2 linked regions of the Caenorhabditis elegans genome follow. The protein of the gene in region 1 purifies or fractionates together with the protein of each later gene. This does not show direct contact. Each region holds a gene or a part of one and is shown in the gene's direction. Other genes may lie near its edges.

The links. The genes of interacting proteins can lie anywhere in the genome.
Region 2: the proteins of dpy-18 (region 1) and srlf-7 fractionate together in Caenorhabditis elegans (co-fractionation; one large-scale study listed by BioGRID). This does not show direct contact.

What each region holds. Positions count from the first base shown.
Region 1 is NC_003281.10:11,372,378-11,379,589, reverse strand, and holds dpy-18 (Prolyl 4-hydroxylase subunit alpha-1), read left to right. Parts: upstream 1-1,609; 5' UTR 1,610-1,610; coding exon 1,611-1,874; intron 1,875-3,452; coding exon 3,453-3,675; intron 3,676-3,720; coding exon 3,721-3,848; intron 3,849-4,535; coding exon 4,536-4,620; intron 4,621-4,684; coding exon 4,685-5,331; intron 5,332-6,064; coding exon 6,065-6,229; intron 6,230-6,377; coding exon 6,378-6,545; 3' UTR 6,546-6,704; downstream 6,705-7,212. UniProt on the Caenorhabditis elegans protein: Catalyzes the post-translational formation of 4-hydroxyproline in -Xaa-Pro-Gly- sequences in collagens and other proteins.
Region 2 is NC_003282.8:7,187,424-7,190,839, forward strand, and holds srlf-7 (SXP/RAL-2 family protein Ani s 5-like cation-binding domain-containing protein), read left to right. Parts: upstream 1-1,863; 5' UTR 1,864-1,864; coding exon 1,865-1,945; intron 1,946-2,081; coding exon 2,082-2,255; intron 2,256-2,304; coding exon 2,305-2,805; 3' UTR 2,806-2,910; downstream 2,911-3,416. Other genes in the region: C42D4.13 (Ground-like domain-containing protein), read right to left, coding at 1-47, 92-178, 266-637.

The sequences.
Region 1 (7,212 bases):
AATTCCGGCTCCACTTGCTATTGTGCTTTTTTCTGTTAAAAACATGCATAACATCCAATTTTTTGGCGCCGGATTTTTTTTTGGAATTCGGAAGTTCACCAACTTGAATATTTTTCCCTATTTTTTTGGCAATTTTTTAAACAAATTCCGGCGATTCTAAAATAGCCCAGTACTTGACATTTCAAATTCAGTTGGAACTACCCAATTATTCCCAACCTGACACCTTTTGTCTTTTTCCTATTCAAACTTTGTGAACCTATATAATTATTTTTTTCCCGCCTGCGTCTCTCTTCCTCTCTGCAAATACTTACGATTCAATAGAATACGTGAATTTCCGAAGACCTTCGCGACGAATCTAGTTCACAGTCGTTTCTTTAGATTTTCCATGGATTTTGATTTATGAAACTTTAGAAGTATTGCAAATTTTTTTTAGGTCGAAAGCTTTTTCTATAAAAACAATATAGCAGCCGACACTTCACTGGGTTAACTTTACAGAAAATACCCGCGAGTTGTCGGCTGCTGTAACTCCCTTTGCAGCAATGATAGCAAGAGATTGGTAAATAGCAAATTGTAGAAAATAAAATTTACAACAATTTGTTAGTTGAAGACATTTTTCTATGTGTAATGCGAAACAAATTATGGCAGCCGACACTTCAATAGGTTTTAGAGCTAGCGAAAACCCCGTGAGACTTCGGCTGCTACAAGTTTTTCAGTTAGACATTCAAAAGTTGTAACTCACAATTTTTTGCGTCTTGCGGGTTTTAACTGAAAAACTGGAAACGGTTCAGAATTCAAAAAAAAAATGTTTTTCGGTTGATGCTTCTAAAACGTTTTTCGTGATAAAAATTGAAAAAAAGCGAATTCAAAAATTAACTTTTAGCAGCCGACATTTTATGGGCTTGAGTTATATTTCTCTAACCCTAAACACCAAAGAACCTATATATCTCACACTTTCACTATCATCAAGTCAACGTCAGTTTTACTCATTTCTGCGTCTCGTTTTCTTATTTCTTTCGCATCTAATTGTTGTAAGTCTACGTGGAGAAACCAGCCTTATATAGCTGAACCAACTTCCTCTTTTGCAATTTTTTCCTTTCTTTGTGTTTTATGCCAGAACTTTGAAATCACAAAAGTTATTGTTAATTTAATATTTAAGCTACCTGAAATTTCCTATATTTGGTCAATTAACAATTTTTTAGCAGCTAGTTCAAGAAGTAAGTTAAAGCAGACGACATCTAGCGGGTCAGAATTTTGGAAGCTGTGAGATGTCGGCCGCTATATGCTTCTTGAGGAAAACTGGTGTGGTAGCCGACACCTTGCGGGATTTGATCCCCGGGGTTTCCGGATCTGTAAGATGTAGGCTGCCACAACTTTTTTAAACTGACAAAGTTAAGAAATCAAAATTTCCTTTTTTCCGGTAAGCACTGTCTTTTGGCTATTTTAGGCAGCCGACATCTTGCGGGTCTTGCTCAGTTTTGATTTTTTTTTTTCGAACCCATGAGATGTCCGCCGCTATAATTTTCTCTGGCGTTTGTGTCAAATCTTTATTGTAAACTTTATCCGCTTCCCGTTTTGCAGGTTTTTAATTCCCTAACTCTCAATTTTTCAGAATGCGCCTGGCACTCCTTGTACTAGCCACAATCGGCTATGCAGTTGCCGATCTGTTCACCTCGATTGCCGACATGCAAAACCTTCTGGAAACTGAAAGAAATATTCCGAAAATCCTTGACAAATACATTCACGACGAGGAAGAGCGACTGGTTCAGCTGAAGAAGCTGTCGGAGGAGTACTCGAAGAAAAATGAGATTTCGATTGAAAATGGGCTCAAGGATATTACGAATCCGATCAATGCGTTTTTATTGATCAAGAGAAAGGTAATTTTGTTTGCAATAGGTTTTAAGTTATTGCAGCCGACATCTCACTGGCCGTTTTTTCAGCCCGTAAGGCGTCGGCTGCTATGACTTGTTTTTAACGCTAGAAAAAAGTAGTCAACTATGATAGCAAAGTATAGGAAATTTCATTTACTTAATTTTGTTAGTTGACGATTTTTCACTCAGTCCCGTAGTTTTACTGTTATTACAGCCGCCATCTTACTGGCTGCACTTTTTAGAAATCCGTGAGATGCCGGCTGCTATAACTTTTTTCCCATACATTTTAGAAAAAAGTTGTCAACTGACAAAATATAGAAAATTTCATTTACTTAAATTTGTTAGTTGACAATTTTTCACTCAGACCCGTAGTTTTCCAGTTATTGCACCCGACATCTCACTGGCCGTTTTTTTTCAGCCCGTAAGGCGTCGGCTGCTATGACTTGTTTTTAACGCTAGAAAAAAGTAGTCAACTATGATAGCAAAGTATAGGAAATTTCATTTACTTAATTTTGTTAGTTGACGATTTTTCACTCAGTCCCGTAGTTTTACTGTTATTACAGCCGCCATCTTACTGGCTGCACTTTTTAGAAATCCGTGAGATGCCGGCTGCTATAACTTTTTTCCCATACATTTTAGAAAAAAGTTGTCAACTGACAAAATATAGAAAATTTCATTTACTTAAATTTGTTAGTTGACAATTTTTCACTCAGACCCGTAGTTTTCCAGTTATTGCACCCGACATCTCACTGGCCGTTTTTTTTCAGCCCGTAAGGCGTCGGCTGCTATGACTTGTTTTTAACGCTAGAAAAAAGTAGTCAACTATGATAGCAAAGTATAGGAAATTTCATTTACTTAATTTTGTTAGTTGACGATTTTTCACTCAGTCCCGTAGTTTTACTGTTATTACAGCCGCCATCTTACTGGCTGCACTTTTTAGAAATCCGTGAGATGCCGGCTGCTATAACTTTTTTCCCATACATTTTAGAAAAAAGTTGTCAACTGACAAAATATAGAAAATTTCATTTACTTAAATTTGTTAGTTGACAATTTTTCACTCAGACCCGTAGTTTTCCAGTTATTGCACCCGACATCTCACTGGCCGTTTTTTTCAGCCCGTAAGGCGTCGGCTGCTATAACTCTTTCAAATGCGTTTTAGAAAAAAGTTGTCAACTGACAAAATGTTGGTAATTGACAACTGTTTTACCAGTTCAAAGTTAAAAAAGTTAGAGCAGCCGACATCTCCCAGGCCACGTTTTTTGAAAACCCGAACATATCGGCTGCCTTAATTTTTCTCTAATTTTTATTAGAGAACGTTGTTGACTAAGTAATAGTAAGTTTAGTTGAAATCTTTTCAAAATTTTGGCTGCTCCCAACTATTGGTAAAGCCTCCAGTTTCTGTGTTATTGCAGCTGACATCTCACTGGCCGCACTTTTTTTGAAAATCCGTGAGATGTCGGATGCTATAACTGTCATAACTTTTTTCTCAAACGCTCCAGTTACAGAAAATTTTCTACAACTTTACAGTTTACAACTTTTGTCTATCTCAATTTCTAAATGGCCTATAACCCCACAAATCTTCAGATCTTTGACTGGAAGGAGATCGAGTCGAAAATGAACGCAAATAAGGCTGGAAACGTGGTCTCTTCAATCACAGATGACAGTTATGGAGTACGGTACCCAACAGCCGATGACTTGAGTGGAGCAGCTATTGGGCTCCTCCGTCTTCAAGACACTTACCGCCTCGACACCAAGGATCTTGCCGATGGAAAGATTTACGCGGATCAGGGAAATTACACATTTTCCGGTAAGCTTAAAGTAATACAAACTTTAAGTTTATCTTTAATTTTAGCAAAGGACTGTTTTGAAATTGCCCGTGCTGCTTACAATGAGCACGACTTCTACCACACTGTGATGTGGATGGAGGAGGCGCAGAGAAGACTCGGCGACGAGGTGGAGCCAACTGTGGAGGTGGAAGATGTGAGTTATCTTGGCTGGAGAGGAAGATAGAAAAATATTTACAACTAGTGAATTGTGCAGAATTAAATTTACATTATTTTTTAGTTTATAACTTTTTTATAGCTTGTTTCTTAGTGGAGTTATAAAGAGTTTTAGCAAAAAAATTTGAATTTTAAAATAAAGCACGCATATCTCTGCAATGAAAGATTTTATCAAAAGGTTGTCAATTGTTAAAATGTGTAAAATAAAATTTTCTACAATTTGTTAATTAACAACTTTTTGCTAAACTTGCGTCGAAGCAAGTTATGGCAGCCGACACCTTGCGGGTCCAGAAGCAATCCAAAACCGGAAGATGTCGGCTGCAACATAACTTTAATCCTAGTTTAGCTGCGGGAGAGATGTTAACTAATAAAGTGTAAAACAACTTTTTTTAATTGCTTTGAAGCAAGTTATGGCAGCCGACGCTTTACGGGGCAATCTGTCGGCTGCTGTAGACTTCGAAGGCGGATAACTCTGCGGGTATTGAATTTATCAAAAAGTTTTCAACTAACAAATTATAAAAAAATTAAGTTTTAGATACTTTAATAGTTGAAATATTTTTGATATCTTTAATAGCGGCGGAGAAACAAGCGTAAATCGCCAAAAAGCTATGAGAAAGTAGCCGAAATTTTAAATGCAACTTTTTTCACCAAAAAATTTAATTTCCAGATTCTCGAATACCTGGCGTTTGCACTGTACAAGCAGAACAACTTGAAGCACGCTCTAAAGCTTACAGAGGAGCTCTACAAAATGAGTAAGTTTTTGAGACCGCGAGATGTCGGCTGCTACTCAGCTATTGTAAAATCTAAATCTTCCAGACCCAACTCACCCACGCGCCAAAGGAAATGTCAAATGGTACGAGGACCTTCTCGAGCAAGAAGGCGTCCGTAGAAGTGACATGCGCAAGAACCTCCCACCAATCCAAAACCGCCGTCCCGACTCTGTCCTAGGAAACACTGAACGAACAATGTACGAGGCTCTGTGCAGAAATGAGGTTCCAGTGTCCCAGAAGGACATCTCCCGTCTCTACTGCTACTACAAGCGGGACCGTCCGTTCCTTGTCTACGCTCCGATTAAGGTGGAAATTAAGAGATTCAACCCACTAGCCGTGCTCTTCAAGGACGTGATCTCCGACGATGAGGTGGCCGCGATTCAGGAGCTCGCGAAGCCAAAACTCGCAAGAGCCACAGTCCACGACTCGGTGACCGGAAAGCTTGTCACAGCGACTTACCGTATCTCTAAAAGCGCGTGGCTTAAGGAGTGGGAGGGTGATGTTGTGGAGACCGTTAACAAGCGAATCGGATATATGACAAATTTGGAGATGGAGACCGCTGAGGAGCTGCAGATTGCGAATTATGGAATCGGAGGACATTATGACCCGCATTTCGATCATGCCAAGAAGGAGGAGTCGAAGAGTTTTGAGAGCTTGGGAACTGGAAATCGTATTGCCACTGTGTTGTTCTATGTGAGTTATATTAAAATGCAAAAACCCGTCAAGTGTCGGCTGCCAGCTAACAGCCCGCAAAGTGTCAGCTGTTGCCTTATAACTCGCAAAACGTCGGCTGCTAATTAGATGCCAGTATTTTGTCGGCTACCATATAGTCCCGGCAAAGTGTCAGCTGCTAGGTAGATCGCTGAACTTGTCCGGCACTAGCGCACGCGACAGCGAGGGATCCATTTTTGCCGGCTGCTAACTAACCCCGCAAAGTGTCAGCTGCTAGCTAACGACCCGCGCAGTGTCGGCATCTAGGAGCCTGTAGCTTGTTGGTTGCCACTCAGAACCCGCGAAGTGTTGACTGCTAGCTAACAACCCGCAAAGTGTCGGCTGTTATCTAAATCCACAAAGTGTCTGATGCTAGCTAACAAGCCGCTTAGTGTTGGCTGCTAGCTAACAAAACGCAAAGTGTCTGCTGCTAGCTAACAACCCGCAAAGTGTCAGCTGCTAGCTAACGACCCGCGCAGTGTCGGCATCTAGGAGCCTGTAGCTTGTTGGTTGCCACTCAGAACCCGCGAAGTGTTGACTGCTAGCTAACAACCCGCAAAGTGTCGGCTGTTATCTAAACCCACAAAGTGTCTGATGCTAGCTAACAAGCCGCTTAGTGTTGGCTGCTAGCTAACAAAACGCAAAGTGTCTGCTGCTAGCTAACAACCCGCAAAGTGTCGGCTGCCGACTCAAAATCAACCTATTATTGTTTCAGATGAGCCAACCATCTCACGGAGGAGGTACCGTCTTCACTGAGGCCAAGTCTACAATTCTGCCCACCAAGAATGATGCTCTCTTCTGGTATAACTTGTACAAACAAGGAGACGGAAACCCAGACACCCGTCACGCCGCCTGTCCCGTTCTTGTCGGAATCAAATGGGTTAGTTTTTTGTTTCTGGTGGGAGCCCGCGAAATGTCGGTCGCTTCTTATATCGGTATTTGCGTACTTTCGCAGCTACAGTAACCCACAAAAACACCTCTAGGACCACAATTTCATGAGGAATTCGAATTTTAACTTGTTTTTCCAGGTATCCAACAAATGGATCCACGAGAAGGGCAACGAGTTCCGTCGTCCATGCGGCTTGAAATCCTCAGACTACGAAAGATTCGTCGGCGACCTCGGATACGGCCCAGAGCCAAGAAATGCTCCAAACGTGTCCCCAAATCTTGCCAAAGACGTCTGGGAGACCCTCTAAGCATTGGTTTTCATTGTTTTCTGTTTTTTTTCTTTGTGCCGCATAATTTATCCCCACACACTACCGGGTGGTTTCTTACATGTTTTCTCTTTTTTCTCTTGTTGCCTTCGATGAAGTTGTCTGCCTTTTTCTTTGCCGTGAATAAATTATTTTTTACTTTTTAATTATGTTATTTGAAAGCAGCCGACAATTCCCTAGTGGATCCTGTGAAGTGATGGCTGCAAGCCTGTAAAGCGTCGTATGCAGAATAGAAACCTGTAAGAGGTCGGCTGCAAACCTATTAAGTGTCGGCTGCTGAGTAAAACCCCGTATAGCGTCGGCTGCAAAATAAAAAACCGTAAGAGGTCGGCTGCCAACCTTTTAAGCGTCGGCTGCTGAGTGAGAGCATGTATCGTATCGGCTACAAAACTGTTTAGTGTCGGCTGCTAGATAGGAATCCGTAACGTGTCGGCTGTCAACCTATTAAGCGTCCGCTGCTGAATAAAAACCCTTGAGATGTCCGCTGCCAACCTGTTAAGTGTCGGCTGCTAGATAGCAACCCGTAAGGTGTCGGCTGCACACACACTGGATATTATTGATTTTCCGAAAACTTCCGAATTTTTCTTCTCCTGCTTACCTTTTTCCGTAGTTTTATCATTTTCTCATCATCACTTTTTCGCATTGACAG
Region 2 (3,416 bases), on another chromosome or scaffold:
TGGCAGAATTTTGTGGAATCCGTCGAAAATTGCAGATTTTTGAATTTCTGAAAAAGAAACTTGAATTCACGACAAGAACATTTTTACATGCCTCCGCTTGACAAAAAAGTACATAATTGGTGAGAGAGTTCACACCAAGATCGAATTGAATTCCTTCTTTGGTCGCCTTGGAGATTGCCTGAAAACTTTGAATAGTTTTTCGACTAACATAGCATTGTTATTAATAAATCAAAACTTTAAAAATAGTTCAATTTTGACAACTAACCTTCTCGACAACTCTTCTCAACTTTCCAGATGTGCATCTAATCTCAGATTCAGGTTCCTCGGTATTCTTCCAAAATTCTCCAGTCTCTCTCTTCTTCCTTCCACTTCTTCCACAAAGACAACCACATTCAGGAGGCATTGGACAATCGGTTCCATCTGCTTGTTTTGGAATTGTACGTCTCGGTTCTGTAGTTGCTCCAATAAAATTCATCGCTTGAAATTGTGGAAGTAGATTGGGAATTGGAGGATATCCAAGATTTGCTCCTTGAAATTCTCCATAATAACTAGGAGATTGGGATAGTGGCAAGGGTTGTTGGCAGTGGATATGGAACATTGAAAGTGTGAAGATTGATAAAATAGACAAATATTTCATGGTGATTATAGAGAATGGATGGAAGAAAAAAGGAATCGCCGCGATTGTCATCCATATGTTTTATAGGACTAGTTTCTTCAGGATGAAGCTGATATAGATATATAGATATGGATATAAATATATCAATGATAAATTGAAAAGATCAAATGCGTAAAAGGAAGCACCTGAATAGAGAAATAAGTTACCATAAGAATTGGAAAATAATTTGTTTGTGAAGAGTTGGATATTTGAGAAACACTTTTTCTTTTATTTATGTTTTGGACATGTGTCTAACAATTCGAACTTGCTCATTCTGCACAATGTTTTATCAGTACATACTATTAAGCATATCGGATTAGGATATGTTCTACTTCTAGAAAATTAATCAAGTGATGATAAGTACTGTACATTCGGCAAATTATAAAGTGAAAACCTGTTTTGCAAATAAACTTTGCAGGGTCATGTAGTGTTTTTTTTAAATTGTACTCTACGAATTAATTTTCTAATTTACATCGAATTTCTGCTTTTGCATTTGTTTCAATTAACTTTGCCTGTCACCTACTTGTTGTATTTTGTCTTTTGTGCATACGCGGAAGATAGTTTTTAAGTGACGTATCCTTCAGGTTCAAACTATCAGAAACACAATACGACTAACAATAAATATATTTAAAAATTCAAAAGATTCGCGGAACTCTAGTAAATTGAATCAAACGTTTTGAATGTGTGAAGGACGTGTTGCCACTTTGCGGCAAGTACAATAGAGCACAAATTTCTGCGACTAAGTTGGATATGCTATATGCTCCTCGAGTACTTTTCAGATTTTTTGTTGACACATTCGGAATTCTTGTTCAGTTTCATTTTATTCTTCAAAAGTGTCGTGTTTACTTGTCCTCAAAAAACCAAGTAACCTAACATCCTTATCAATAGCTTTTCTTGTCGCCTTCCGGTGTGCCATATCATCTCTAATTCTCTTAACTCTCTTCTATTTATTTACTGTTTCACTTACTGTCTATCACCTAATGAAGTCGATGTTTGTGTCTTTGAAGAGAATTAGAGAAATAGAAAGATACTGAAAAAATGATAATGAAAATGAAAGAGGCTCGTGATTATTTGACAAATATATAAGGATAGGCAGGTGTTGAATTGGAGACATGGTTTTTCATTTTTTCTTATTTTTTTACTGGTTCAAACTGTTAACAGCATCTTTATATTTATTGCTTCTTCTTGATGGAAATGGTTGATTTCAGGATGAAGACATTTTTCATCGTAGCTTCATTGCTTGCTGTAGGACTCGTTCTTGCCGAAGATTCAGAGGAGAAATCGGAAGTTGTAAGTGAATGAGATTTTTTTTACTTTTCTCTACCAAAAAGTATGTTAATTTGGACGCTTTTTTAACACTCCAAGTACAAGGGAACTTTTTTTTTTACTTTTGGCTGGAAATAAAATAAATTGTTAAACCTTTCAGAAAGATGTGAAGCCGTGGAAAAAGTTGGACTTCAAGAAGCGTGAGCCAGAGTTTTTGAAGGAAATGAGCCAAGACGCAAAAACTGCCTATTTTGGAATCAAGTTCAATCCAGAATTGACAAAAGCTGAGAAGACTCGAATGTTGAAGGAATGGGCTGATCAGTACGATGTTGAGGTAAATTATTTTCCACGAGGAAGAGAAACTTATTGTTCAACTATTTCAGGATGATATGCAAAAGTTCTTGGACGCTAAGAAAGCAGATTGTGATAAGAAGAAACAAGAGCGCAAGGACAACTATGAACGCCTTGGAGATCTTATTGAAAAAGCCGATGAAATTCTTGATGATCAAGAGAACACCTGGAATGGAGCCAACGAAAAGCTTGAGGCATTGGTCAAGGATGAGAATCGTGATGTTATGAAGGCATTCCAATCATTCTATCCATTTGTTGGAAGAGACAGTGAAGGACCAAGACATGGTCATGGGCATGGACACGGACACCGATTCCATCATGGAAGACGTTTCGGTAGAAATATTGGTGGAGGAGCTGCTCCAAGATACAATGGAGGAGGAATCGGAAGCGGAATCTCTATTGGAGAGAACCCAAGACATCATAATGGAGGTATTGGAAGTGGAATTTCAATGGGAGAAAGACATCGGGATGGAGAAAGCTATGATGCATATGGAAACTCAAAGCATCATCACAAGAAACACCATGGATTCTAATTTTCCATTATTGGCCAGACACGAAATGTTTATATGTTTTATAGAGACCTGATTTTTTTTCCTGATAAATTATATTTATTTGAATTTAATAAATTTTTGAAGCTAATTCGATCAGTTTTTTTGAAACAACAAATGAACCCACCAGCAGAGTGAGTTCATTCTCGGTGCACAAGTCTACCTTGGAATCTTCAAATCAATTAACACAATTTCAAATGGCGCGTTTAAATAATAATAATATCAAATATAATTTCCGCATTTGTTAACTCGACTTTTCATTGAACACAAAGGTTCTTAAATCAAAATTAGATTTTCAAAGTTTCTACTAAAATCTAAAATTATCTTTTTTGTTTACCCATCCCTAATTCACTGACAAAATTGGTTTGATAACAAAGTGATACAAGCAAGGCCAATTTTTATCAATTGGAACAAAAATCATAAGACTATTGAATGACGTGATATTTTATATTGAAGCATTCCGCGTATCTGCGTGGGTTAAAACACATTTGAATCACAAACTACGATTAGAATATTGGAATTCTTAAAATTGCACATATCCGTTTTTGTACGTTTTGTTCTGAAACGAACTCAAAGATTGTTGGTTGACTCACATG